Oryctolagus cuniculus: one gene and its partners. The protein of the gene in region 1 interacts with the protein of each later gene in a biochemical or structural test. Links are inferred from orthologs where the notes say so. Each region holds a gene or a part of one and is shown in the gene's direction. Other genes may lie near its edges. The genes, in order: NEDD4, NTRK1, PTEN, RAP2A, RNF11, MLANA and SGK1.

The links.
Region 2: of the proteins of NEDD4 (region 1) and NTRK1, one has a biochemical effect on the other in vitro, tested with the Homo sapiens proteins (3 studies listed by BioGRID, with this or other methods). The link is inferred for Oryctolagus cuniculus from reciprocal best matches to the Homo sapiens genes NEDD4 and NTRK1.
Region 3: of the proteins of NEDD4 (region 1) and PTEN, one has a biochemical effect on the other in vitro, tested with the Homo sapiens proteins (7 studies listed by BioGRID, with this or other methods). The link is inferred for Oryctolagus cuniculus from reciprocal best matches to the Homo sapiens genes NEDD4 and PTEN.
Region 4: the proteins of NEDD4 (region 1) and RAP2A form a complex in vitro, tested with the Homo sapiens proteins (2 studies listed by BioGRID). The link is inferred for Oryctolagus cuniculus from reciprocal best matches to the Homo sapiens genes NEDD4 and RAP2A.
Region 5: the proteins of NEDD4 (region 1) and RNF11 form a complex in vitro, tested with the Homo sapiens proteins (3 studies listed by BioGRID and IntAct, with this or other methods). The link is inferred for Oryctolagus cuniculus from reciprocal best matches to the Homo sapiens genes NEDD4 and RNF11.
Region 6: the proteins of NEDD4 (region 1) and MLANA form a complex in vitro, tested with the Homo sapiens proteins (2 studies listed by BioGRID and IntAct, with this or other methods). The link is inferred for Oryctolagus cuniculus from reciprocal best matches to the Homo sapiens genes NEDD4 and MLANA.
Region 7: the proteins of NEDD4 (region 1) and SGK1 form a complex in vitro, tested with the Homo sapiens proteins (3 studies listed by BioGRID, with this or other methods). The link is inferred for Oryctolagus cuniculus from reciprocal best matches to the Homo sapiens genes NEDD4 and SGK1.

What each region holds. Positions count from the first base shown.
Region 1 is NC_091443.1:78,551,332-78,554,831, reverse strand, and holds part of NEDD4 (E3 ubiquitin-protein ligase NEDD4), read left to right. Parts: intron 1-2,767; coding exon 2,768-2,887; intron 2,888-3,500. UniProt on the Homo sapiens protein: E3 ubiquitin-protein ligase which accepts ubiquitin from an E2 ubiquitin-conjugating enzyme in the form of a thioester and then directly transfers the ubiquitin to targeted substrates. Specifically ubiquitinates 'Lys-63' in target proteins.
Region 2 is NC_091438.1:41,947,953-41,952,132, reverse strand, and holds the start of NTRK1 (high affinity nerve growth factor receptor), read left to right. Parts: upstream 1-1,380; 5' UTR 1,381-1,450; coding exon 1,451-1,662; intron 1,663-4,180. UniProt on the Homo sapiens protein: Receptor tyrosine kinase involved in the development and the maturation of the central and peripheral nervous systems through regulation of proliferation, differentiation and survival of sympathetic and nervous neurons.
Region 3 is NC_091446.1:42,726,683-42,730,182, reverse strand, and holds part of PTEN (phosphatidylinositol 3,4,5-trisphosphate 3-phosphatase and dual-specificity protein phosphatase PTEN), read left to right. Parts: intron 1-1,678; coding exon 1,679-1,903; intron 1,904-3,500. UniProt on the Homo sapiens protein: Dual-specificity protein phosphatase, dephosphorylating tyrosine-, serine- and threonine-phosphorylated proteins.
Region 4 is NC_091440.1:15,033,298-15,037,561, reverse strand, and holds the start of RAP2A (ras-related protein Rap-2a), read left to right. Parts: upstream 1-1,464; 5' UTR 1,465-1,606; coding exon 1,607-1,920; intron 1,921-4,264. UniProt on the Homo sapiens protein: Small GTP-binding protein which cycles between a GDP-bound inactive and a GTP-bound active form. In its active form interacts with and regulates several effectors including MAP4K4, MINK1 and TNIK.
Region 5 is NC_091438.1:121,712,806-121,716,887, reverse strand, and holds the start of RNF11 (RING finger protein 11), read left to right. Parts: upstream 1-1,282; 5' UTR 1,283-1,785; coding exon 1,786-1,908; intron 1,909-4,082. UniProt on the Homo sapiens protein: Essential component of a ubiquitin-editing protein complex, comprising also TNFAIP3, ITCH and TAX1BP1, that ensures the transient nature of inflammatory signaling pathways. Promotes the association of TNFAIP3 to RIPK1 after TNF stimulation.
Region 6 is NC_091432.1:168,567,970-168,572,107, forward strand, and holds the start of MLANA (melanoma antigen recognized by T-cells 1), read left to right. Parts: upstream 1-1,338; 5' UTR 1,339-1,492; intron 1,493-2,929; 5' UTR 2,930-2,951; coding exon 2,952-3,031; intron 3,032-4,138. UniProt on the Homo sapiens protein: Involved in melanosome biogenesis by ensuring the stability of GPR143. Plays a vital role in the expression, stability, trafficking, and processing of melanocyte protein PMEL, which is critical to the formation of stage II melanosomes.
Region 7 is NC_091436.1:34,692,342-34,696,479, forward strand, and holds the start of SGK1 (serine/threonine-protein kinase Sgk1), read left to right. Parts: upstream 1-1,338; 5' UTR 1,339-1,382; coding exon 1,383-1,458; intron 1,459-1,585; coding exon 1,586-1,661; intron 1,662-2,038; coding exon 2,039-2,114; intron 2,115-2,488; coding exon 2,489-2,593; intron 2,594-2,705; coding exon 2,706-2,789; intron 2,790-2,906; coding exon 2,907-3,038; intron 3,039-3,256; coding exon 3,257-3,369; intron 3,370-3,689; coding exon 3,690-3,813; intron 3,814-4,138. UniProt on the Homo sapiens protein: Serine/threonine-protein kinase which is involved in the regulation of a wide variety of ion channels, membrane transporters, cellular enzymes, transcription factors, neuronal excitability, cell growth, proliferation, survival, migration and apoptosis.

The sequences.
Region 1 (3,500 bases):
ACATCTCATTTCTCTGAGTTTACCTCTCACTTACATCATCCCTATTTTTTCTTAAATCAAATTAAAACTTCCAGGCTTTTCAACTCACCCTTCTTTCGTTAAAATTTTTTTTTTAAATTTTTTAGTTTATTTAGTTGAAAGAGTTACAGAGAGAGAAAGAGAGGAGTGAGCTTCCATCTGCTGGTTCACTCCCCAAGTGCCCAAAACAGCCAGGAGTGAGCCAGGCTGAAGCCAGGAGCATGAAACTCCATCTGGGTCTCCACCTGGGTGACAGGGACCTGAGCATTTGAAGCATCTCCCAGACGCTGTCTCCCAGAGCAGCCCTGCTTCCTTAACTCCCCACAGAAACGTCCTGCTGCCTTCGTCCCATCTGAGCCTCTCACCAACAGGCTGTTTCCACGGACGGATTCTCTCCTCCCTCCAATCAGTGCACACTGGCGCCTCTCACCTTCAAATAGCCTCCTTGCTTTTTTTCACCAGTCATTGGTAATTTTGAAAATTGGGCTCTGTTTCTGCTTTTGTCAAAGTTCCCACATAGAACCTCAAAGTCTCCAAAGGACTCAGTCACTCACCTGTCCCCAAATGAGAGCCATGCCGTAAGAGAGGGACCCACGTCCTAGGCTGAGGAAGGAGGATGTTCCTGCCTGTGCAGTCCTGGCCCAGTCAGCACTGCCCACCACCAAGAGGGCCAGTGCCTCCCGGAGACCGCCCTCGGCAGCTTACTGTGACTTAGTGTCACTGGGCTGGCCTCCTCCCTTAGCCCAGAGGCTGCTCAGGCAGAGATTGTGGTGTTTCTCCCACTGCACCTGTAATGTGCTCCATACGGCACAAATGTTGCATTTCCCATTGATTGGCCGGCACTCATCCAAGAAATGGGGTCATTTTTGAGATTCGTATTTTGTTTGTTTCAAAGACAGAGCAGTAGAGACAGAGGGAGAGTTAGGGAGATCTTCGATCCACTGGTTCACTCCCCAAATGGCAACAACAACCAGAGTCAGGCCAGGCTGCAAGCCAGGAGGAGCCAGGAACTCCATCCAGGTCTCCCACATGGGTTGCCAGGGCCAAAGCACTGGGGCCATCATCTGCTGCCTTCCCAGGCATGTTAGCAGGAAGCTGGATCAGAGGGAGGATAGCCAGGACTTGAATCCATGCTCCCTTGGGGGATGCCAGTGTTGCAGGTGGCAGCTAACTCACTGTGCCACAACACTGGCCCCCTTGAAATAGTTTTTAAGTATACCATGTGAGCAGCAGCGGTTAGGGCAAATTTATTTCTTATGTATGGTAAAAGCTATTCCCGTGCCGCCTTCTCATACTACACTGGTTGGTTTTACAGATTTCTTGAGTTTTGGAACTTGATCCTGTCACACATACATCACTACATGTGAAATTTAAAAGCTGTCCCCTCACCCCGCATCCTTGCTTCAGTACCTGCATCTTCTCTCAGTCCCAAGAGACCCCTCGCGTCTGTTCTCTGCAGCTGTAGTTGACGTTTCATACAGAGGGAGTCAGAGCCTGCTGTCCCGGGTGCCTGGCCCCTCACGCAGCGTGATGTTTTTCAGATCCATCCACGTTATTGCACGTCTTGGTAGTCCCTGGTAGCCCCCCTCCCATATTACTGCATCCCATTTAGTCGCCTGCTAAAAGAAGTGTGGGAACCTGGGCAACATGGAATTCCATGGTGTGCCATCTAACACTCCATCATGTTTGTCAGTGAGGTGCTGACAGCTGCCGTGTGCCTCATAAGCAGTGGCCCCAGCGAAGAGCCTGGCGGTGGTGGTCTTCACGGTGTCAGGCACTTTAGGGGAGACAAGCCAACTGACAAAAAGAGGGCGGGCATTCAGCGCAGTGGTTAGGATGCCACTTTGGACACCTGCATCCCATCGTGCAGTGCTTGGTTGGAATGCCAGCCCTGTTGTTGATTCCAGGTTCCTACAGATGTAAGCTCTGGAAGGCTCAAGTACTTGAGTCCCTGCCACCCACACGGAAGACCCAAGTGAAGTTCCTTGCTCCTGGCTTTAGCCTGGCCCAGCCCCTGTTGTTGTAGATACTTGGAGAGTGAACCCAAAGGGAAGAATACCCCCCCACACACCCCTTACTCTGTCCCCCCCTCCCTTCCTCTTTCAAATAAATAAAAATATTTAAAAATCAGTACCAAAAAGAAGGCCAAACCTGGGACTATTTTAAGTAAACCTGGAAATAATGATACTTTTCTTTACTCCTTTGTAACACATAGCATTTCCTTACCCTTATAGAAACAAGACAAGGGTAGCTTTTGACTTGGCATGGACGTATTTATTCCATTGATTATATGCAATATACGTTAGCAACTTGTGTCCGTTTTTTAAGCTTCAGTGTACTCCTCAGCAGAATGGGCCAGTTTTAGCAATTATCATGAAGTTTTGTGTTGGGCTTGAATGTCATGAGGTATGTTAAAGCATTTAGGATGTGGTGGTTACTGCTTTGTTAGTGATGTTATTATTTATTAGTCATATGCTTTATTAGTGATGTTATTAGATTAGTTATTAGTGCTGTTATTATCTATGCTATTTTCTTCCCAAGTGAAATGCATACACTTTATGTTGTACATGCTAAGATGATTTAGAATATGTTTTATTTTACTAAATTAAACATATATAATTTGTGCATTTTCCATTGTAGTAATGGAAAATAAAATGTGCTTCATTCTAAAAGAGCTAGCACTGAAGGAATGTGGTACTCTTTCAAGGATTTTTGTGAATATTTCATTGTTCTTTATTCTTCACTTAAGCTTTTGCCTACTTCATCTGGACTACCGCCAGGTTGGGAAGAAAAACAAGACGAAAGAGGACGATCATACTACGTAGATCACAATTCCAGGACAACAACCTGGACAAAGCCTACTGTACAGGTGCCTGCAGTCTGTGAACTTGTTTTTGATAGAATTTGAAGTGCACACTGGATACTTCTAGCACCTTCTAATTGCAATCAACCCTTGGCAGGGATAAAGGATTGATTCCGGGAGCCCTGTGGATACTGAAATCCATGAATGTTCAAATGCCTTTTAATAACTGGCACATTTGGATGTAACCTACGCACATCCTCTAAATCATCTCTAGATTGTTTATAATACCTAGTGCAGTGTAAATGCTAGGCAAATAATTGTCATAATATATTGTTAAGGGACAATTAAGGGCAAAGGAGGAATGTCCGTACATGTTCAGTACTGATCAGGTTTTTTTTTTAATGTATTGAATCCATGGTTGATTGAATCCTTAGGGAGTGGCCGACTGGAGTTAGTTTTTGGCATTGATGCTAAGTGTCTACCTTTTCCTGTGGGTCTGTCATGCACATGAATTGTCACTGATTATTGCATAAAACAGGTCCAGTAGGGACTAAAAGGACACAGTAAATGACCCACTCCATTGGATGCTTTTGTAATTTGAATCTTTATCATCATTATTTTCCTAGACAATGATCTCAGTGATGAATATTTTTAAAAATTAATGCTTTGTCCTTGGCAA
Region 2 (4,180 bases), on another chromosome or scaffold:
TGGGGAAATAAGGCCAGAACGCGGCGGGGGGAGGGGAAGAGAGGCAAAGAACGGAGCTCCCCAACCCCGCTGCGGCCGTGGTGGGGCCTCTGCCATCGCCACCCCGCGCCCGCCGCTCGCCTCTTCCGCGGAGATGCGGCGGCTCTGGATGCGGCCACTCGGGCTCTGACACCTGCGAGCTAACTTCTGGCAGCCTTGGCTAGCGCAGCGAGCTCCTAGAAACCTGGCCAGAACGTGGGCAGTGTCTTGGAGCCTTTCTCGGCCAGGAGGCCCCCCTGGCCATTCTTTCTGGGTCCCTTGGCGCGAGCCTTGGTTTTCGCCACGTACCCCAGTCCTGGCCAGGATCCCCTTGAGGAACGCGATCACCCCGCGGGGATCTGCCTGTCTGGTCACCTTCCTGGTGACCCGGACTGCTCAGACGTTCCTGTGTGCCCCAGCCCCGGGGAATCGGGAGACCAGGGGTGCTGCCTGAGCTCGCGCCCTGGGGCCCTTGTTTGCCCCTCCCCTCGGCAGAGAGATCGGGCCCTTGTGGCCACCAAGGCCCGCAGGAAGCCCTGCGTGCTGGGAATCCCGGTACTTTCCAGGTGCGCGGCCTCCGAGGGCCGGCCGGTCCCCAGCTCCACCCTCGGGCGGCTCCCGCGGCCGAAGGGCTAAGAGAAGACCTATTAATTTCTCGGCGCAGAAATCGATGCTCTTGTCAAGGCGGCGATCGATGCCAGCTCTGCTCGGCCTGGTCCTGCCCGGCCGGGCACCGAGGGCTGACGCTGGGACCCGTGGCATGGCGCAGAAAGGGCTGCAGACCGCACCCCCGCATCCAACCACCCAACCTGGGTCCCAGGCTTGCACCTTAGCGCGCAGGCTTCTAGCGCCACCCTGTGGCCTTTGCTGGACGGCAGGGCCTCGGCTCCCTGACCCCTTCCCTTTCTCTGTCCCTTCTGTTTTGCAATTGGTCCTTTTTTGGGGGCTCCTCTTCCTTTTCTTCCTAGGGTTCAGAGCGTTTCACCCAAATTACCCCAAATGACGTCACTCCCACAGACGAGCACACCGCGAGGCTGGGGGCTGTCTACGCGGACCTGGACGGCTCAGTCATCTCCCCTCCCCCCAAAATGTCAAAAGGCAGCTGCTTGAGGCTGGGAAAAATAATGTATCAACTTCCCCGTGCCCCCACGGCCAGCCAGAGACCTTCCGCGGCGGCCCCTCCGCCCCTCCCAGACCTGGGGGAATCTTGAGCTACAAGGCTGGCGCTGCGGGCTCCCGAAAGCCGAGGCGGCGGAGGTGCGGGAGTTGGAGAGAAGGGGCGGGGCGGGGCCGGGCGGGGGCCGCTGGCTCCGCCCTTTCCTGGCGGCTGGGTCTTTAACACCGCCCCGCGCACATGTGCGGGGAGGCCCGGCAGCCGCAGCTGGGAGCTCACAGACGGCGGCCGGGCCGGGGTAAGGCGAGCGCCGCCGCGATGCTGCGAGGCGGACGGCGCTGGCAGCTTGGCTGGCACAGCCAGGCGACGGGGCCGGGCACCTTGCTGGCGTGGCTAATGCTGGCATCCGCGGGTGCCGCGCTCTGCCCCGATGTCTGTTGCCCCCGCGGCCCCTCGGGGCTGCTCTGCACCCGTCCTGGAGCCCTGGACAGGCTCCGCCACCTGCCGGGCATCGAGAACCTGACAGAGCTGTGAGTGTCCGGCGGGCGAGGGGGAGCGCGGGGACGGGCGGGCGTCACCGAGCCCCGAGGGCGCGGACTCACCGCCTGCCTGCTGGGTCAGGCGCGGCGGGAGGCTGGCCCTGCGTGTCTTTTGGCGGGGTCTCGGCGGTCCTTCGCCGCAGCCGCCCCTGCTAGCCCCGCCGTCACTACCTGGCTGCCGCCTAGGGCTCAGGCCAGCTGTGGCGCCAGGTTCGGGGAGAGCGAGCGCATTTTCCGTGGACCAGGTCTGAGAGAGCCCGGCTATCTTAAGGCACTTTCTGGAGCTCAGCCAGGAGCCCGAGCTCTGCTCCATTGGAGGCGGGGGATTGGTCGCGGAGACCCTCTCAGTTTGGCACCCCTACCATCTTTTCCTTTTTCTAGGGGGCATGCTAGCCCCCACGCCCTTGTCATGACCGGGCTCTCCAGGCCCTTGCCCTGGGACTGGGAATTGAGCTGGGATTGGCGGAACCTAGTGGCTCCTCTCCCGGTTTCCACCATCCCTTGAATCCAGGATGCCTTGGGTTGGATGTGGGGAATGGGACCCCCTCCTGGCTTCTCCAGCCGCCCCCCTCCAACCATCTCCCTTTCCATCCTTGTCTCGACTTGGGGCACAGTCAGGCCTTTGCTGAGAGCCCCCTGCCCAGCCCCCTCTACCCGCTCCCCTTGCTGCCCGCAGCCCAGGGGCATCTGCAGCGTTTTGCACTACTCTGATATCCTGCAGCCATTTGCCACCAAATACTCTGCTACTTTCTAGCGGCTGGGGAAACCTATGGGAGTATGCTGTAATAACTGGCCCCGAGGTACTGAAGCATCACAGAACAGTGGCTGGAAAATACTCAAGCATTGCCAGCAGGACTCCTGGCAGCAGGGACGAGCTGCTAGAAAAATCCTGCTCCTGTGGCCTGGGGCTGAGAAGGTGGACAAGGGACCCTGGCCTTGTGCAGGGAGGGGCTGGAAGGTGTCCGAGGCGGGGTCTACCACCACTGTCTGGAAGTTACTTGAGCAGCCTGTAATAATTGGCACGGACTTGCTCGGGCATCTCGTGGTAATTAACGGGAAGGTACTCAATAGCTCTCTCTAATGGCCCTGGGGAGGCTAGGAGCAGAGGAGATGGCCTTGTCTCGGTCTGGGCCTAGGTCTCTGCATGCTGGGAGGGGACCTGAAGCCTGTCCAGTCATCGCCCCAGGCGTCCCAGTGGGACCCCGGTTCCCTGTCACTGCTCTCATCTCCCAGTGCCCTTCCAAGCCCCAAGAAGAATAAACGCCTGGGGGAAGGGTGGACAGTCCAGGGTCGGGGGCTAGGAGGTATGCAGGGGGTGAGCTGAGATGTCCCCCTGGGTGGACCAGCAGCCCCCTCCCTCCTCCCTCACCCTCAGAGCTAACGAGGAGATAATGGACTCCAATAGACAGATTGATTACGAATCCAAACGAATGGGGCAGCCTTGAGGCAGCCTTGCGCAAGCTGCCTGACAGCCTGCACACACCCAGCCCGCCACCGCTGCTTCCCAGCTCCCCGGGCCCCAGCAGCCTGAAACCCTACGGTCAGGTGCTGTAGGGTGGAGAGGACCAGGAGCTGCCCTCCTTCCGGGTCTCTAGAGGTTGCTCCCTGAGCCTCAGGGCACGGAGGACCTGATTCTTGCCTGGCCTCTTGGGATCAAGGCTGGGAAGGGGGGCTGGGAGGAGGAAGAAGCTAGTCTTGGTTCCTTTATTTGGTCCTTACTTAGGAAAAGTAAGAGGTAGAGTGGGAGCATTCTGAGAAGCGGCGGTGAGTCAGGGCCCCGGGTGCCCATGTGAGGGCCACACTGACGTGCAACTTGCAGAACAGCCGAGTGCCCAGGACCTCCCTGGCACACTGGGTGCAGAAGCTAGCCCAGGGCTCCCGCCAGCCCCCAGCCCAGGTGCCTGCTTGCTCTGCTTTCTTTGCTGTCTTCCTATCTGGCCTTCTCTGCCTCTTTGTCCTTATCTCTCTGTCTCTGTCTCCCTTTCCTTATCCTTCTCCTCTCTCTCTCTGCCAGTCTCCCCCTATCAGCTTCTCTTTCTCACTCTCTCTGTTTCTGTCTTGCTCTCTTTGTTTTTCTGCCGTCCCTTCCCATCCCTCTCTCGCCATGTGAGCCAGCCAGTTCACTCCCACTCCATTCTCTCATTCCCTTTCTCCTCCTGCCTGGGCCCCTCCTGGGGCAGGGAGGGGTCCGGGGGTCCATGCCTGACAGCTTCTATGCTTCTTGCTTGCTCTGCCCAATGGGCAGGGGTGGAGGGAGGAAGGGGTTGATGCTTGAGTGTGGGAAGGGGCCAGAGGCTTTGAGGGGGTGGAGAAGGTGGAGTGTGTACGTGTGTGTGTGTGTGTGTGTGTGTGTGTGTGTGTAGTGGTATGAGTGGGCCCTGGGCAGGCGTGATTGGGGCACATGCTTGCAGGGACACAGGGTCTCTCCGTGCTGGGTGGGGCAGTGGCAGGGCTGAGCCCAGCCCCTTGTGGAAGCAGGTGTTTCAGCATGACCCCCATTGTTGAGCAC
Region 3 (3,500 bases), on another chromosome or scaffold:
TTTTGTGTAGAGACACAGACTCCTTTTCTCCATTTTGGTTTATATTTCTTGGAAATGGGTTATTGTATGTTTAGTTCCCCAAGATTTAGTTTTTTGATTAGAGAGAAATAAGTATGAATAGGAAGTAATAAGGAGTGAAAAAATGGAGTTTATTTTAATATGCATTTAGAAAGAGCAGTTTGTACTTTATATTCTTTAGAAAAGTTCAAGAGCTCATTGTAAAATAGACTATCTTGTTTAAAATATTAAGTGTGAACATTTAAAGCAGATCTAAGGGGGCCAGCACCATGGCATAGCGGGTAAAACCGCCCCCTGCAGTGTTGGCATCTCATATGGGCTCTGGTTCAAGTCCTGGCTTCTCCACTTCCGATTCACCTCTCTGCCATGGCCTGGGAAAGCAGTGGAAGATGGCCCAAGTCCTTGGACTCCTGCACCTGCGAAGAAGACCCAGAGGAAGCTCCTGGCTCCTGACTTTGGATCTGTGCAGTTGTGGCCATATGGGACTGAACTGGTGGATAGAAGACCTTTCACTCTGCAACTCTGCCTTTCAAATAAATAAATAAATAAAATAATTTTTTTTTTTTTGACAGGCAGAGTTAGACAGTGAGAGAGAAAGGTCTTCCTTCCGTTGGTTCACCCCCAAGTGGCTGCTACGGCAGGCACGTTGCACCGATCCAAAGCCAGAACACAGGTGCTCCCTCCTGGTCTCCCATACGGGTGCGGGGCCCAAGCACTTGGGCCATCCTCCACTGCCCTCCCGGGCTACAGCAGAGAGCTGTCCTGGAAGAGGAGCAACCAGGACAAAAAAAGATTTATTTACTTTATTTGAAAGGAAGAGGCAGAGAGAGAGATAGGTCTTCCATCACTCCCCAAATGGCTGCAATGGCTGACGCTGGGCCCATCCAAAGCCAGGACCCTGGAGCTTCCTCCTCCAATGTGGGTACAGGGGCCCAAGGACTTGGGCCATCTTCCACTGCTTTCCCAGGCCATAGCAAAGAGCTGGATTGGAAGTGGAGCAGCTGGGACTTGAACCAGCGCCCATACGGGATGCCAGCACTGCAGGTGGTGGCTTTACTTGCTACACCACAGTGCCTGTCCCTTCATATTATTTCCAAGAAGTGATTTTTTTTAGAATAGTCATTTTAGAAGAAAAAGTGATCAAAAGATTCCCTCACCCCGGCGTCTTTTATTCTGAAGGTTTTCAGGCATACATTGTCATGTAAGAAACTGAAGTTACTGTGTTTGTATTACTGTGAAATAAATCTGCTGTTTAATCAGACAATTGCACTTAATTTCCAGGAACTTCTGTTAAAATAAATCTTGGATTAGATAGCTGATTAAATCATAAAGAAAATTAAATCATACCTGATTTTTGTTTATGCCTACACGTAACTGTACACATTTCTAAAGCTAGTATTAGAGTAGATAGAAGTTATTTTACATAAGACTTTAAGGTCGTTCTTAGCTATTATCTACAGTTTGAGTAAAAGAAACACAAATGAATCAATGTAACAGGTACCTGCAGGTTGGCGTATAGTAGTAGTGTTTTTGTTTACCTTTATGAAGAATATCAAACGATGCATAATTTTGTTGACTTCTTGGGGCAGATATTGAATATAGGTGACATGTTTTTCTCCAACAAAAATTTAAAATTAGACATTTCTTTCCTTTTTTTTAGGACAAAATGTTTCACTTTTGGGTAAATACGTTCTTTATACCAGGACCAGAGGAAACCTCAGAAAAAGTAGAAAATGGAAGTCTTTGTGATCAAGAAATTGATAGTATTTGCAGTATAGAACGTGCAGATAACGACAAAGAATATCTAGTACTTACTTTAACAAAAAATGATCTTGATAAAGCAAATAAAGACAAGGCAAACCGATACTTTTCTCCAAATTTTAAGGTCAGTTAATAACCCTTTGTGGAGTCAGTGGTTACATGCATACGTGCCTGTTTTATTCCAGGTGTGCAGATGAAGAACTTGGCTGACTGATTTTCAAATTAAATGATGTATTGTTTAGAAGCAATGTTTATGAAACAATAACCTGAATGTTTCTAATGAAATATCAGGATACAGAAAGAGTCAAAGGAGCTGCGTGTTTCCTTCTCCTGTTGTTTGATGAAATCTGGGACAGAGGTGTGAGAGGGGAGTTAAGTGAATGGGTTATGAAGTAGAAATGGGGGAATTTGTTCACTGCTGCTCACAAATAGGCTTGCTTCTTTCACTCTTTTTTACACTTTTAAAAGACGTACTAGGTACTTGCATAATTTAGTGTGGTTCTGCCTCCTTTGTTACCTCTATCCATATTCTTTTATGCTCTCTGGGATTTAGTCATAGTGGTGTGGCTTCAGTTCTTGCAAATACTGTTTCTGCCTCTGGTCTTACCAGTTCTTTTCCTTCTTCCTGTACCTTTCCACCCTAGTCTTTTCCCTTACCTTCATATAGGCCTTCTCTCATTGTCCTCCCCTGCTACTTCTTTCTCAGATTCCTCTCTGGTTCCTCATATTATGTGTTAGAATTAATTGATTTGTTTCATTTTTGTCTGTATGTGATGTATGTGTGTCTTTGAGTGTGTGTACTTCTATTTATAGGTGTGAATTCTTCAGATTAAAAAATCTGACTTGTAAACATTCCCAAATAATAGTTCACCATTTTTTTCTTTCCTTTGGCTATTTTTATTTTATTTATTTATTTTTTTTTTACAGGCAGAGTGGACAGTGAGAGAGAGAGAGAGAGGGAAAGGTCTTCCTTTTGCCGTTGGTTCACCCTCCAATGGCCGCCGCGGCCAGCGCACCGCGCTGCCGATGGCAGGAGCCAGGTACTTATCCTGGTCTCCCATGGAGTGCAGGGCCCAAGTACTTGGGCCATCCTCCACTGTACTCCCGGGCCACAGCAGAGAGCTGGCCTGGAAGAGGGGCAACCGGGATAGAATCCGGCATCCCGACCGGGACTAGAACCCGGTGTGCTGGCGCCGCAAGGCGGAGGTTTAGCCTAGTGAGCTGCGGTGTCGGCCCCCATTAACTTTTAAAATGTCTTTTTTGCTTTGGTTTTGTAGTTTTCTGTTTTAATACCTCAAGAGGTTTTATATTTGTGATTACAAAAACTATTTTTAGTAAACCAGTGTATTGTCATATATATCATGGTAAATGCTGTGAAAAATAGAGATGAGATAGAGAGTACTTTTATTGGTTTTATTTGTTTTGGCTAGCCTGATTAGAGAAGATCTCACCAAACTGTTGACATTTAAGTGGAAGCCCTAATTCAGATGAATGAGATATACCGGTATCAGGGAAAAGAGAGAAGAGAAGATGCAAAAACCTTGAGATAGGAGTAGCTTAGTTTATTTGAGAAATGAAAAGTCAGTGGCTAAAGGAGAGTAGACAGGAAAACCAGTCCATGTGTGAAAATATCGAAATATTTTTCAGCACAGAACTGGTGTGGTCTAAATTTTTATCTTTAAACATTGGCTCTACTCCCATAAAATATGGACAGATGAGGA
Region 4 (4,264 bases), on another chromosome or scaffold:
ATAATAATAATAATAAAATAAAATACAAAAACCCAGCAATGTCGGGAAGGCAAGCTCTGTCCTGAACTTGACGGCACGCGTGGGAGGGCGTGTGTGTGACTAAGACCTACGGCCGCGTTTTAGAACAGCAGTAAAAGGGGGCGCGCGGGGACGACGGCGCTACTGCGGCACCGCAGTCGCCTCCTCAGGGCCGGCGACGTCTCCCGCCCTGACCGCCGAAGTCCCGGCTTTCCCTCTGCAGCCCGCGTCCCACAGCACTGCTCCACGCCGACCCCGGGACTCGTCGCTCCCGCCTACAATGCACTCGCTCCCCTGCCAGAGCAGGGCACAGCCACCGGCCCCGCCATCCCTGCCCCTCCCGAACCCCACCAGCCCCAGCCCGGTCTCCACACCCCAGCCCTCCGAGGCCCGCGAATCGCGAGCTCCGATTGGCTTACCCATGCCTCCGTCATTGCCCAGCTCACCTACCATTGGTCAGCAGGTCGTGCGCATAAGCCCTGGGTGGTGGGGAGGCGGAGCCTGCGAATACACGTTTTCCTGATTGGCTGAAGCGGAGGGCATCACGTGGCATGAGGCTGCTCCCTATTGGCAGTCAAGGCTACCATGCGGTCCAGAGACGCGATCTGATTGGCTACCATGAATCCCGGCTTCCTACTAGACGTCCCCTGCGGGCTGTTGCTATGAGGTGTCCCCTGCCCTTCCGCAGGCTGGCGGAGACTCCGCTCTCCACGTTTTCCCTGTGCCCGTGGGTGACAGGGCGTGGGAAGAGCTGGACCACAGTCGGGCACCGGGAGGGCGGGGCTCCGGCGCAATCACGGGGCGTGGCCGCGAGCCCGTTCCCGACAGGCCTCGTGTCATCGTGTTCACACCACCTCAGGCAGAGGCCTGGAGGCGCCACACCACCTCAGGCAGAGGCCTGGAGGCGCTCGTCCCCTTCCACAAAGCGCACAGACAGCGCAGTGTCAGGCAAAGGCCCTCGCGCCTCTTGGACCCCGCGCGTCTCCGCCTCTCGCTACACGAAGCCTGACCGTGGGCGCTTCGAGGCGACTCGGCGCCCGCATCAAGCCGGAGCGGCACGGTCGCGGCCCCCAGCCCTGCTGCGGGGCAGAGCCCGGCGGCGAGAGCCCCCGGGGCTGGTTTATCTCAGCGCGGGCCGACGTTCTGGCGTGGCGCAGAGCCTCTCGGGAGCGCGCGCGGCCGGTCGCCTAGGCGACGGCTGCAGGGGCGGGGCTGCGCCGCGGGCCCCGCCCCGAGCTTCCAGGCTCCGCCCCCGGCAGGGCCGCGGCGGGGACTCGGGCGCGCTCCCGCGCGGGGAAGCGGCGGCGGCGGCGGCGGCGGCGGGCGGGGAGCTGGGCGTGGAGGCGCGAGGGGCGGGGCGGGCGGCACTGCGGGCCCGCGGCTCGGGCGGCTCCGGCTCCGGCTCCGGCTCCCTGCTCGCCTCAGCGCCTGCCGTCGCCCGGCTCGGCCCATGCCCAGGGCCGCTGCCGCCTCAGCCGCCGCCGCGGCCGTGAGGTGCGGGCGGCCGCGGGAGGCGGCGGCCGGGTCCGGGGGCGCAGCGCGGCGGGCGTAGGTCTATGTCGCGGGCGGCGGCGGCGGCGGGGGGACGATGCGCGAGTACAAAGTGGTGGTGCTGGGCTCGGGCGGGGTGGGCAAGTCCGCCCTGACCGTGCAGTTCGTGACGGGCACCTTCATCGAGAAATACGACCCCACCATCGAGGACTTCTACCGCAAGGAGATCGAGGTGGACTCGTCGCCGTCGGTGCTGGAGATCCTGGACACGGCGGGCACCGAGCAGTTCGCGTCCATGCGGGACCTGTACATCAAGAACGGCCAGGGCTTCATCCTGGTCTACAGCCTGGTCAACCAGCAGAGCTTCCAGGACATCAAGCCCATGCGCGACCAGATCATCCGAGTGAAGCGGTGAGCGGGCCCGCGGGGGGCGCGCGCCCCGCTCCGCGCCCTCCTCCTCCTCCTCCTCCTCCTGACCCCGCGCGCGAGGGCTTTGTTCCACCCCGGAGACCCGGCGTCCGGCCGCCCCCGGCGCCGCGCTTTGTCTCCCACGGCGCGGGTGGGAACCCCGCAGCCAACAAAGTTGGAAGTCGTGCGGGGGGACGGCGGCGCCTGACAGCGGGGCACGCTCCCGCGCGGGCTGCGGGGCTGTCAGGTCGGAGGCGGGAGGCCCCTGTCCGCCGCGCTCTACTCGGGGTCGGTGGGAAACTTGGAGGACGGGGCGCGCGCGACGGCCCGGTGGGGTTGCGGGAGCCCTGGCCCGGAGCGGGACCCCGGCGCCACTCAGGTTTGGGAACGCGGGTTAAGTTTTTAAAAATCGGCCTGCTGTACCCGCTCAGAAACGGGGCGGCGGAGGCGGCCAGGTCTGCAGACAGCCAGGTATTAGCTAATTTAAAGGTAATGCAAATAAACTGCCCCAGAGCAGCTTGGTCCTGAAGCATGCATTTTTGAAACAGGAACGACAGCTTAAATGGTTCAAAAAAATTTTTTTTTCTCCTAGAATTGACTATATTTTCCCTGTAATTTCAGTGTCAGGAACGTAATATCTTAGTTCAAAGTTTTGGCAAAGTTTTCTAATTGCTATTTAATTACACATTACCCCTGTGTCTGTTCCTTATTAGTTAATGCTTGCTGGCCATTTTCGTGTCATTTTCTTTTGTTGCTGCCTTATTCTCCCTGTGAACCAACATTGAAAGACATTTGCTGAAAGGTGGTTCTAAGAGTGATGCAGACGCGATGAGTTGTAAGTCAGTTTGAGTCTACTAAAGAAGTCCTGTGTACTCAGAGGATGTTCAAAAATTCATTACAAGTGGTGGATTTTTAACACAACTTAGGAGATCACAGGGAAGACTCACTTCCCCTTGTCTCTTTACATAATTAACTTTAATAACTAATTTTATGTTCTTTCTTGCATTAAGTTCCAAAGTAGAATAAAGTGTGTATTTTTTAGTCTTTACTGCTGTTCCCAGGTCTGTAAATCTGACAGCTTTTTGCTTCTCCAGTCTCATTGTTTCAAAGTTATATATCTGGGATTAAGAGAGAAACTATTTTGGTTTCAAACTAAGTGTGTATCCGATATTTAAGGAGCTACTTTTTAAGTGGTTCAAATCCTTTAACATGACTTCTCCCCAGTACTACTCAATTAAACAGAAAACTATAGTAAAGTAGTCTCATACATTGTCACAGGTCAATTTTAGGCCAAATACTTAGATGAAATAATAATTAAGTAAGTGCTTCACCAGCCCCACCCTTCACATTTGAATATCTACACTGAGTATGCATCCATACACTGCTAAAGTCACGTACCCAGACTATCTTCTTGACACAACCTTGGGGGAAGGAACATGGCAAACTGTCATTGGATGGTAGGCTGCACATCATTTTGGAGTTTATTTAGTGCAGGTTACTTTTCTCAGTTTTTTTTTTTTTTTTTTTTTTTTTGGACAGGCAGAGTGGACAGTGAGAGAGAGAGACAGAGAGAAAGGTCTTCCTTTGCCATTGGTTCACCCTCCAACGGCCGCCACAGCTGGCGCACTGTGGCCGGCGCACCGCGCTGATCCAAAGGCAGGAGCCAGGTGCTTATCCTGGTCTCCCATGGGGTGCAAGGCCCAAGCACTTGGGCCATCCTCCACTGCACTCCCTGGCCACAGCAGAGAGCTGGCCTGGAAGAGGGGCAATTGGGACAGAATCTGGCACCCCGATCGGGACAAGAACCCCGTGTGCCGGCGCCGCAAGGCGGAGCATTAGCCTATTGAGCCGTGGTGCCGGCTTTTCTCAGTTTTAATAATGGGTTAACCTAGGCTTGGTCTACAGGAAGAACTTAACCTGTTACACTGTGACTCAAGGGGGAAAGGGAGACATCTATCTGCATAGTTGGTTAGCATTTTTCTCACTAGTGTCAGTTCTTGATGTAAAAAGACCATTGATCAGCAGGAGCTTTTCGTAAAGTTCTCCCTGGAATTCAGCTATCATATCCATGAGAGCCACTTGGGCCTTTCTTCTGTGTCCTCTTATCTGGCTTCCCCGTCTGTAGCATATTATTTACAAACAGAAGGAAGAAAGGACCTGTGTTTGCTATATGGATTACAATGAATATATATTAAAGCAGGTGTTATTGAACCCTTCCCACTTAGAAAGAATAGAACATGATTTTCAAATAAGTGAATTTTCTACTCTTTTGAAGACCAGATTTTAAATGAAGCAGTTGCAATAGGAGTCATTGTTCCCACCCCTTGGCCCACTGTCTGGCAGCTAG
Region 5 (4,082 bases), on another chromosome or scaffold:
GGTCTAAAAGCCGAGAGGAGGTGAAACCCAGAGTGGACTCAGGAGAGGCTTTCCAGGGGAAATGGAGTTGAGTCCTGGGAGTCAAGTGGGAATAATGATTAGCCCGGTGAGAGGCAGAAGGTCAGAAGCGGGGAGAAGTAGGTTTTTGCCAGAGAAACAATATGGGCAAAACCCCCAGCTAGAGGCAACAGTCCCTGAGGTATCCAGAAGTACTTGTGGGGACCAGCGCCATGATGTAGAAGGTTAAGCCTCTGCCTTCAGTGTCGGCATCCCATATGGGTGCCGCTTAGAGTCTGGGTTGCTGTGATCCAGCTCCCTGCTAACGCTCCTGGGCAGGCAGCAGAAGATGCCCCCAAGTCCTTGGGTCCCTGTACCCACGTGGGAGACCTGGAAAAAGCTCCTGGCTCCTGGCTTTGGCCTGGCCCAGCCCAGGCTGTTGTGGCCATCTGGGGAGTGAATCAGCAGATGGAAGATCTCTCTCTCTCTCTCTCTGCCTCTCTCTCTCTCTCTCTAACTATGCCTTTCAAATAGATAAAATTTTTAAAGTACTTTGGAAAGCTTGGAATTTACAGTTTCTGAAGGATGGGACTATGCTTGGAGAGGCAGTCGGATTTGAAAGTTATTTATTTAAAGATTGCTTTAAGGACAATATTAGGAACCCTTTGGAGGTTTTAAACAGGAGAACGACTTCACTCTATTTACATTTAAAAAAGATAAGTCTGTCAACTGTGCAAATAATGGATTGGATGGGGGGGGGCAATAATGAATACAAGAACAGCTGAGTCTATTGCAGGAGCCTGGGCAAGAGATGACCATGGTGGTTGGGAATGTAAGGAAATGGAACACTCTGGGAAAAGAAATGGGAGAAGGAGCTCCCTGGCTGTGATGCAGGACAGGAAAGTGATTGAGATCGGGAGGGTTCATTACTGAGATTGGACTTTATTCCGAAGGGAAAAGTGGGAAGCCCTTTAACATTTTAACAACGGTACGATGATCCATCCACTCAGATATGGGTATATAAATAGATCCCTTAGCAGAGGGTGGTGAGAACACTGTCAGAAGAGTGTACAGGTAAGAGCTGCGACGTCGACGGCGCGGGAGCCGTGTCCGCAGGGAAGCGCGGGAAACCAGAGGCTTCCGAGCGAGCCGGGCGAGGAGCCAAACTGTCAGGGACAGAAGCAGAAACTGACGCAGCCCCAGGAACAGCTGCTAGAGGAGGGCGGGGCCAGCCGCGCCGCGAGAGCCGCCTTCGCCTCCTGGCGCCGGGGGCGGGCCCAGGGCACGCACGGCGGGATGACGCAGGGCCCCAGCCGGCCTCGTTCTGGCCGCCGCCGCCGCGCTGAGGCGGACTAGGATGAGGCCCGCGGCCGCGGCGCGGTTGCCGGCGGGGGCAGCAGCAGCAGCTGAGGCAGCAGCTGAGGCAGCCGCGACGGCCGCGCCCCCCGCTCCTGACCTGGATTAAGCCCAGCAGCCCCGTGGCCGCCGCCGCCCCGCGGGGGGGCGGGGTGGGGAAGTGCTTCGTCTCCCCGCCCCCCCCGCGTCGCGGCTTCGCCGGAGGCAACCGTCTCGACCCCAGCCGAGCCCGCGGCCCAGCCCTGAGCCCCCACCCCCGGGGGCTGGCATGAGCTGCCCCTCGGCGGCGCCGGGGGGCGGGGGAGCCGCCGCCGCCTGAGCTCCGGCCCGTCGCTCGACCCCACCTCGCCGACCGAGGCTGACCGCGGAGCGTGCGAACGACCCCGCCACTGCTTTCTTCCTACCCCAGCTCGCACACACCCGCCCCGGAAGATGGGGAACTGCCTCAAGTCCCCCACCTCGGATGACATCTCTCTGCTTCACGAGTCTCAGTCCGACCGCGCTAGCTTTGGCGAGGGGACGGAGCCGGATCAGGAGCCGCCGCCGCCATATCAGGTAGGGGAGGGTGTGTGTTGGGGAGGAGGGGTGCGAGTACTTGCAGCTCGGGCAGAGATGGAGGGGCTTCTCCGCCGTCTCTGCCCCCGGCCCCGCGGAGGCCTGCCCAGGGGGCGTTGACCCCCGTAGGGCTGGCTGAGGGCTTCTCCCAGTCCGAGAATAGAGGTGCTCCTTCCCCTTCCCTCGGGCGCGCCGTGCAGGGTACTCCCTGCCCTTGAGTTGTGGGATGAGGGGTATGGGATCGTAGCCCCTTGGCCAGTGTCTGGTGGTTCGCTTGTGAAGTTTGGGAGTGACATTATTTTCCTGCCTTTATGCCTACATCGTATGATTTTTCTCATCGCACCGCCAGCTGGATTATGGGTCGGGGAGAAGTGGCTGCCCCCACCCACTCCATTTATATTTTCATGTGATCCCCCCCCCCCCCCGTCTTTGTTAATTGGATCTGGTAGGTGTTCATTTCTTAAGAGCCGGCTCTCCAAGTGGCAGTTTTAGCCCCAGCGACTATTATAAATTTGTTTATACACACACACATTTTTACCCCCTCCGCCTTTGCTCCACCCTTATGACATACCTTTTAAATGTGCTGACTTAATAAAACTTGATTATCTTGAACTTTGAAAACCTTGAAACCTGACTTGGGAATTGCCTTGCGTTACATATGGTCCTCCTTATATCAAAGACTCCTAAATAGGCTTCATTGCTTTTTGTACAACCATTAGTCTCAGTTGTGTTACAGAATTAGTGAGAAGGTTAGGAGCTCTGGAAAACTCAATAGATACACACATGTTATAATTCATAATACATACAAAAACTTTTCCTCTGTTTTCCTAGGTTTAAATGATACTGAGTAAAAACTTTTTTTTCCAGAAAGGTTTGAATGGTAGTCCTTAATGTTTTTTCCTGAAGGGAGTTTAGCTTTCTAATTGGGCAGTCGCCTTTGTTGTTTCATGTGATGACATCATTATCTAGTGTTTTCTTTTGTCTTACCTGTGTAAACCAGTGTCTCATCACACCAGAAAAACCTGATCACATACATATGCTAATTTTCTGACTAAAACCCTGTGGGGGCCTTTCATGGATACTAACGAAGTCCAGTCTTCCTTGTGGCAAAGTCCAGTCTTCCTTGTGGCATACAGAAAACCTCATGACACCTCTTACATTCTGTATTCCAGACTGTCAAATACTGGCTGTTCACACCTCTGCCTTTGCTCCAGTTGCTCTCTTCTTGGAGCCCTTCCCCCAAGGTCGGCCAGGTGGACATCTAATCCACTTTAAGGACTCAGCTGTCAGATCTGAAGTTGTGCAGTTCCTCTCTTTCCTCCCCATCCCTCATCTGCATCCAAGGGAATGAACCAAGAGCTATAAACACTTTAGTGTGACATCTTTGTGTAGGTGGATGTATATCTCACCCTGAGGTGTTCCCTCCTCCCTAAATTTACATTGCATGAAGGTAGGGACTATGCGATTCCAGTTTGCTGTTATATCCATTTACACACTTGGTATCTCTTAGGGTGTGTAAATTGTCACAGGGGTGGTAGTCTCTTTAAATCCAAGCTGAATCTGAATGTTGGTCCAAGTATCTTTGAAGCAAGTAAACAGTTTATATTTCATTCTTTGTCCCCTGCCCCCATATAGACTATGCAACAAATCTGCTTATTTTAGTTTCATGAACAATTTTTAGGCAAATTTTTTATTTCAAAATCTGCTGTGCTCCCTAATCCCTTTCCAAGCAAACTGAATTATTTTTGACTTGTTGCTATCTTTCTCCTATCCTGATGATAATTGTAGTGTTAAATAACTTTAGAATTTATGGGAAGTATATTTGCCCTTTCCAAAAGGACTAGATGGTAATGAGAGCTTTTTGGTATCATGAGCGTTTTTTTGGAAATGTGTTATTTTTGACAGTGGATGTTTTTGTGGTTGCCCTTTCCTGAAGTGAATGACCCATATACTGATGTAAATTTAGTATCATTTGGAAGAAAATAATTACTTTAAAAGATGGAAACAAAAAACTTAAAATTGTCCACCTAAAGAAAGATTTTTTGGAACAGTTAATTTAAGTGATCTCAAAAAACATCAATCCAAGGTAAATGATTTATAATATTTTCATTTGATAAAAGTGACTTTTTTCAAGAGACAGTATGTAATTAAGGACTGTGGTAACATTGGCTCAT
Region 6 (4,138 bases), on another chromosome or scaffold:
CTGAGGTGCAGGCCAGCTCCACTCACCCTCTCTGTGGTCTTGCTCACATCGTCCAGAGCCATGGTAGGTATAGAAGGCAGCTTAGTGCAAACTGTGGGCTTCTCAACTTGGAACCACAGCCTTCGGCGGACACCAGCACTCACCACTAGGGCTTTCAGGGAGTTACCCGGCATAATCCTGATGTTCGGGATGGAGTTGCACTGGATGTGATATGACACCAGGGCCTTGTGTCCTTCCCAGCCTTTGCACAGAATCTCTGGGCCATCCTCAGTTCTGGGGACCCTGACCACGTCACGCTCTATTGTTTGGCCTCAAGGCCTTGCGCTGGTTGTTTCCATATTTGAAATGTTCTTCCTCTACCTCCTCATAGCCAACTCCTTGTCATTCAGATCTCAGTTTACATTTTCCCTCCTTTTCATGAAGACTCTCTCAGTTTCACCTGATAAGACCCAACTCCTCTTTCTCTGTTTTGTTTCTCCTGTTTCCACTGATGACTTCTGTTGGTTGATCAAAGTCAGGATCTGAAAGGAATGGAGCCCTTGGATGTTATGGGGAAGGAGATCTTTGTGGTCATTTAGTCTAAGTCCTCAGTTGTTGAGGACTCTCACTTATACTCCTGAATTCTGGTGGATTTTTGCTTTACTTTGCTTGCCCACAATGGTTAGGGTGAGCTGTGAAGCAAGGGTGACCACTGTGCCTCACTGCAGTGCCTCTGGGCTGTACACCTTTGATGCCCAGGGTAGCTTACAATGCTAAGTAAAGCCAGCCCTGGTTTCAGTTAGACTGTAAGTAGGTTGTACTCAACCTTCAAGAAGGAAATTTCACTGGCCCCTTGCAAATGCGTGAAAACTCACGGTCCCTAGTGGGTAACACAAAGAACTCAGGGAGCTAAGTTTACGAGGTTTTAGGAATCTTCCGTTGCCTCTTTGTGGTCATGAGAATGCAGGACTAGGCAATCTCTGTATCTGAGCCCCAGGGTTCTTCTACTCCTTGAGGAGAAGATGAGGAAGAATGTTGAGCACCCAGCTAACTCTGGGTTTCAGACAAATGAAACAAATATATATAAATATGTTAATGTAAGGGTGTCTCATGCATTTTTAGCACAAAAATATTGCACGGGACATAGTTATACTAAAAATGCATTCATTGTTTATCTGAAATTCAAATTTAGCTGGCCATTCTGTATTTAATACAGCAGCTCTGTGCAGGAGCGACCGGCATTTAAAATAAATGACTTCCCTAGGATAAAGCTCTGGGATTATGGTAAACAGAAGCCACAGTGAGCTGTTCCCCACCCCCCTGCCCCCCAAGGGAGGAATTAATTCGGTTTCTTTCATGCCAATTAAGCAATCACAGTCAACTCTGTCGGGAATCCAAACCCATGACTATCACGGGACTTGAGACCACGAAAAAGTGAAGAAGATTAAGAGGCAGAGAAGCAGTCTTCACAGACACGGGCGGCTGGCAGAAGAGAACTGGCTCATCCTGGAAGGTAAGGGTGTGCGTCGCCTTCTCACCAGAATTGTAGTCCTGTAGATCCAGAGCAGGGGTGGGGGATTCTGGTGGACCCTGCCGCACTTCCTCATGGCCTCTCTGATACTCAATTGTCAACAGAATTCCCCTGCGACGTTTGTCATCCTCCAACTTCTAACCCTCTCTGGGCCCTCTGGGACTGCCAAGAAGCATAGCAATTATTCAGGGTGGCAGGCAGCTGGTGAGAAGACTCCTGCTGGAGTTCGGCATACTCTCCCGTGGCTGCTGCTCTTGCTTTGAGTGTAACAAGGCGCATTTGCTGTCTCTGTATCATCTGCCAGGGCTCTGAGCTTAAGGTATAGATGGACGAAAACAATTTAATGCATAACTGAGTTTCTTGTCTGTAATTTTGGGCATAGAGCTCACTCTTGGAGAATTTACTTGAGAGCATCAGTGAGTTCAACTTTCTTTTTTACAACTAGGAAGGACAAATTGCATGTAAAAAAAATGCCCCCACCTCCACCCCCAGTGGAAAGGAGTTGCCTGGTGAAATCCCCACTCTGCTCTTCTACTCCTCCCTGGGGTTTGAAATTGAAGTTGGGTGATGTAGCTCTATGGGGCTCAGACCTTCGAAATCCACCAGAGTGATAGGGCTTCCATGGATGGCTTTTAATGAGTACACGTTCATCATAGCCACTGCAGTTCATGAGCTTTTGTTTTGTTCATCTGCATGTATTATAGTTAATTAAAAAATCATAGCTACGAAACTTGAACTATAGAAGAGCAGAACTTGATCAAAGTGGGAGGGAAAACAAATTGTTAGGCATAAGCAGGTCCTAGGCTTCTGGAGCTGATTTTGGGTGAAATGCTCATGGACAAGCCGAGGCACCTGCCCGGGGCTGGTTTCTTTGTTGAAAAGTGGGATTGAAAGATGCTGTGCTTGGCTGCCTGGCTCACACACCCATGGTGAGATTCAAGCATAAGGTGCTCTGGGAAACAGAGATTATGCTATCATAGGCCTCTGCTTGTTCTGAGATAAATATGAGATGATAACTTTGGAGAGAAATAACTCCTCTTATTTTGTTAACCACTGCCCTGGGTCAGAGAAGGTAGAGAATGAATAAAAAACAGTGTATCACTTGTTGTTCTACAAGTTTATGGTATAGAGTCAAACTGAAGGTAAATGGATATTTTTCCCCAAATAATAACTCAATTTGAAAGTCCTGTGTTTCCATTCGTAGTTTCTTCTTCAAGTTTTTCATTAGTGGGAAAGGTAAGAAACCCAAGCTGTTTCTGAAGCTTGTGCTAGCAAGGAATGAAGCAGGTGCAAATCCTTTTGTAGAGAAACCTGAGTGTGGTTGTCCCCTGGTGAGAATGTTATTGGTGGGACTCTATGACATGGCCGGCAAGAACGTTTTGGATGCACTAAATAATGCTCATGTGCCCCTTCTGATAGGTGTCCTGTGCCCTGACCTTTCATGATGCCAAGAAAAGAGGCTCACTTCATCTATGGTTACCCCAAGAAGGGGCACGGCCACTCCTACATCACAGTTGAAGAGTAAGTTCAACCCAGACCCAGAGGGGTTCTCAGTTTGCTGTTTGCTGACACAGCTGACTTCCCCCAGCACGTGACTACCTAGCAAGTCTCCTTAGTGTTCTGTCTCCACAGACAGCAAAAGGTCTGGAAACAAGGTGAGGAGGCCCCAGGGGCTCACTCAGGCTCCTCAGAGGCCAAACAAGCAAGAAGACAAGAATGGTAAAAAGTTGGATCTTACCCACTTTGTCTGCATTCTTGGCTTCTGGGTCTTTGTTGTAGGTTCTTAACCTGGAACATAGCTGTCTTGTATGCAGACGAATCTTTACTCAAGCTTTGTCCTGTCTATTCTGCTCAGGCTCCTAAAGGAGATTTGCAGACCATGAAATGTGTTGCCAAAGAACCAGTGAGGATGAAGGGCAGATGAGAGTGACTCCCTCTGCAGACTGACGCCAGGATGAAGATGGTGTTCGTAATTCTATCTGAAAAAAAAAAAAAAAAAAAAAAAAGCAGTTTGATATTACGAGTTAATTAGAAATTAGCATTTGCATGATGAAGCATTTCTAAGTGCTAAGTGTTGTATACTGGTCCAAGACATGATCCAGTGGGAAAATTAGGCCTGAGGATAATCCCAGGAGATGTAATTGCTGTAACGGGAACACCAAGGATGCAGGGGCACACTCTGCATGTCCTCTCCGCCCTCTGAGTGTGAACCCCAACAGGACAGCAAGGAACTGTCTTTTGGAACATCTTGTCTGTGCTCTGTTCAGAACTTGCTGTAAACCTGCTCTCCCTTTGGAAAGAGTTGGTGAGCAATCTTATAGGAAGTGAGAAGCAGGGACAAATAAGATGTGGAACCCATCAGAGGTGCTGAGGAGGACATCATGCTGGGAGTACCTGCTCAGAGGACCCCAGGGGATTCTCTAATACGCTGTGTGGTCAGTGGGGTTGGGGGTGGCCGATGCCTTCTGGCAAAATGTCCCAAGAGCAAAGATGTGCTGTGTGTACGGTGCACTGTTTCAGCTTCTGTGTGGTGGCCCAACACACCCTTTACATTTAATTCTACTTATCTCTCATGTAATTGTTTAAAACGTCCAAGGGCTCATCAGTTGCCTTCTGTTCAGTTACTGC
Region 7 (4,138 bases), on another chromosome or scaffold:
CCCTCTGCCGCCCGGGTCACGCCAGGTCCGCGCCGCCGCCGCCGCCGCCCTCACCGGCCTCCTCACGTGTTCTCGGCGTGGCGCGGATTAAAATGCAAGGGGGAAAAAAAGTGCACGCAAAACGGACAGAATGTTCTCTAGAAATTACAAAAGGGGTGGGGGGGGGCTGCAGATTGCACTTTGTCTTCAATGCAGAGCCGAATTTTGCTTCCGCCCCCTCCCCTACACATTCCTGACTCCCCTCCCCCCCCTTTTCCCTCCTTCTTTCCTTCCTTCCTCCTCTTCCAAGTTCTGGGATTTTTTTTTTTCCAGCCTTGCTTGGTTTTGGCCAAAAGCACAAAAAAGGCGTTTTCGGAAGCGGCTCGGCCGTGCACAAGGGCCATTTGTTTGTTTTGGGACCCGGGCAGGAAATCTTGCCCGGCCTGAGTCACGGCGGCTCCTTCAAGGAAACGTCAGTGCTCTCCGGTCGCTCTCGCCCGCCGCCCGCTGCCCATGGGGGAGATGCAGGGAGCGCTCGCCAGGGCCCGGCTCGAGTCCTTGCTCCGGCCCCGCCACAAAAAGAGGGCCGAGGCGCAGAAAAGGAGCGAGTCTTTCCTGCTGAGCGGACTGGGTAAGCGCGCCTCGGCCCCCGCGGGGACTTGGCTCCTCCGGTGCGCGCGGGCGCATGGCTCCGGCCCGGTTCTCGGGCTCGGGAGAAGGGGTGGGGGGTGGACGGAGAGCGGCGTGACCGGGCGGCGGGAGCGGGGAGGACCGGCCCGGGAGCTCCGGCCCCGCGCTGACCCTGCAGATGAGGGCGCGCTGAGACGCCTGCGCCTGAGAGAACTCCCGGGCGGTCGCACGCTCCGCCCGGCCTCGGCGGGGAGGAAACCGGGGGGCGCCGGGGCGGGGGTCCCGGGCTATCTATCGCCGAGAGAGTGCAACTGCGGGGGAGGGTGTGGGCTCGCGCAGGGCCGCCGGCCCGCCGGGCTGCGTCCGGAAGGCAGCTCGGCGCTGCTACCCTGACTTCCTCGCCGAACGGAATAAATGAGAAAAATGGAAAATTACTCCGCATCCTTTCCCGCCACCTCCGCCCGCGCCCCGGGGCGCCGAACACTGGCGAAACTGCCCTCCCCGGGCGGCTCCCGAGTCCCCCACCTCCGCCCGCGGCTCGCCCTCAGGCTGGGGACAGAACCGCCCGCCGCGGGCTGCCGTCCCGCCGGGACGCGGCGCGGCGGCCGGGGGCGGGGCCTGCGCTGGGGGGCGGGGCCGCGCCGCTCCTTTGTCGCCGGTCGGGCCCCTCCCCTGCCGGCGCAGCCTTTATAAAGCCGGGCGCGCGGCCCGAGCGCAGAGTTGGCTGAGCCGGTCTCTCATTCCCAACGACTCGCTGTGGTCTCACCGTGGCGATGACCGTGAAAACCGAGGCTGCTAGGGGCCCCCTCACTTACTCCAGGATGAGGGGCATGGTGGCCATCCTCATCGGTGAGTGCAGGAGTCAGGCCGCCGCGCGGTGCGAGTTTTCGGAAGGTCGCGGATCACGGAGTGTGTGTGGCGGCGGACGTTACGAAGCCATCTGAGCATTCGTTTATTTCTCCTCTTTCATTCACAGCGTTCATGAAGCAGAGGAGGATGGGCCTGAACGACTTTATTCAGAAGATCGCTAATAATTCCTATGCGTGCAAGCAGTAAGTTCGGGTGGGATTGCGGGAATTAAAGTCAGTAGCGCCGGCAGGGTAGCAGAGTCGTCTCCCCTCGCTGGGTTACGTCGGGGTGGAGATCTCATTTCTCCTCAAATCCTGGTTTACTTGAGACGTTTTTAACACGGAGACGGGCTTGCCTCCTTGTCGCCCGCCCTCCGCGTGAAAAACCACCTCAATTTCTGTACACAGCTGGGCTCACTGTTGGCTTCAAAGGGCCCAGTAGATGATTTTGGGTGTTTGCAGTTGAAGTCCTGGATTCTCCGGGGAAACTTCGAGCCAGAAACTCAACTGGTGGTGTTGCTGTGCCCCCTAGTGGGGCGCGAGGAGGCTCCAACGTGTGTGTGTTTTTTTTTCCTCTGCAGCACTGAAGTTCAGTCCATTTTGAAAATCTCCCAACCTCAGGAGCCCGAGCTTATGAACGCCAACCCTTCGCCTCCGGTGAGTATCGTTCCGTTTGTGAAGCATCTATGGGGGAGAATTGTTAAGTGAGTCACCTAGTATCCCTACATTGATGGATTAAAATAGCATTTCTGGAAATTAGTATGAAGGCAGGAATGTCTCATTAGTTAAGGACATAACAGGTGACATAACTAGTTAAGTATTGAGTCAGTGGAGTATTGTCTGAAGGCATATTTCATAAAAGTTTTATCCGTTTAATCTCCATACTCACTTGAAATAATGACATGGTGTGGTTGAAAAATAGTTTTGAGTGCGTTGATAGACGTATGGGACTTGCATCCAGCTTTTATGCTTTATTGTGGACGTCTGCCTTTGAAAGCGGTGACACTAAAGGAGAATGTTTTATTTTTCAGCCAAGTCCATCTCAACAAATCAACCTTGGCCCATCATCAAACCCTCATGCTAAACCATCAGACTTTCACTTCCTAAAAGTGATTGGAAAGGGCAGTTTTGGAAAGGTAATTTCAGATCCGGAGACCTTTGTATATACTCTCGTATGTGTTCATTTTACACTCTCCCTGGATGAGGACCCAAAAAGGATGATTTTTTTTTTTCTTATTGCAATTTCAGGTTCTACTAGCGAGACACAAAGCAGAGGAAGCCTTCTATGCAGTCAAGGTGTTGCAGAAAAAAGCAATCCTGAAAAAGAAGGAGGTAGGAGAAGGGGCTGGTGGGTTGGAGCTGTGAGTGGACGCTCACTGAATCAGCTTTGCCTTGGGAGTGGGTGCCAAGTTGAAGTTTGTCGCTCAGTCTGGGTTGTCATCCTCCTAGGAGAAGCATATTATGTCTGAGCGGAACGTGCTGCTGAAGAACGTGAAACACCCTTTCCTGGTGGGCCTGCACTTCTCCTTCCAGACGGCCGACAAGCTGTACTTTGTCCTAGACTACATTAACGGTGGAGAGGTGAGCGAGTGGGGAGCAGGGGCCGGTCTCTGCACAGCCTGCTTGGTTTTTTAGTCTAAAAAGGAAGTTTTCGAAGGTCTTTAGGGGGTAAAAGTTGCCGGGCTTCAAATAGTTAATAGATTACCTAGGGCTACTTCCTGCGATTGTTTTCGTTAGCTATATATGTCACTAGTGAAGTGTTTTGGCAGCCCAGACTAACTTTGTCCTGTCTCCTGCAGTTGTTCTACCATCTCCAGAGGGAGCGCTGCTTCCTGGAACCACGGGCTCGTTTCTATGCTGCTGAGATAGCCAGTGCCTTGGGTTACCTGCACTCTCTGAACATCGTTTATAGGTGAGCCAAAGAGCCCTGGTAGCCCTCCTGCTTGAGGGAGCCTTAAGATTGTGTGAGAGAGTGTGTGTGCGTGCACCTGGTCCCCTAAAACCAGATCCCCCAGCACGTGAGCTGCCTTGACTCCATGCCACTAGGGAACTGGCCAACTGGGATTGTCCCTAATCCAGACTAGATCAGCAGAACAAGGACTCCCTTTTTTTATTCACTGCACAACTGCAGTGAATTTAAAATACCTAATGCCCTTAGCAGTTAGCTTCACAGAGGACTTGTTATGAACTGAAATTAACATCAGCAACTACTCCTCTGTTCATTTTTTACAGAGACTTGAAGCCGGAGAATATTCTACTAGATTCACAGGGACACATCGTCCTGACTGACTTTGGGCTGTGCAAGGAGAACATTGAACACAACGGCACGACGTCCACCTTCTGCGGCACACCCGAGGTAGGCGCTCGCTTGCTCAGTCCGTCCAGGAGAGACTAGTGCCACAGTGCTTCTAACTTCCTGAACTCTTCAGAAATGTGCTTAGTACAGCTCAGTGAGAGCAAATTACATTCATGGCTTGGTGCATGCAGCGTGAGAAATTCTAAGACATCCTGTTGCTGTCATTGAAATGACCTATCTGTAGGAGCCACATCATAAAAGGGTTTCTAAACCCCCAAGGATGATAACTGTTAGCTACCCAGTAGCTTCCTAAATAGAGGCACCCAGAGGTGGCCGGTTAGCCTCAGAAAGGATAGCGGTTTTGTCGGGCAGTAATCTGAAGGAA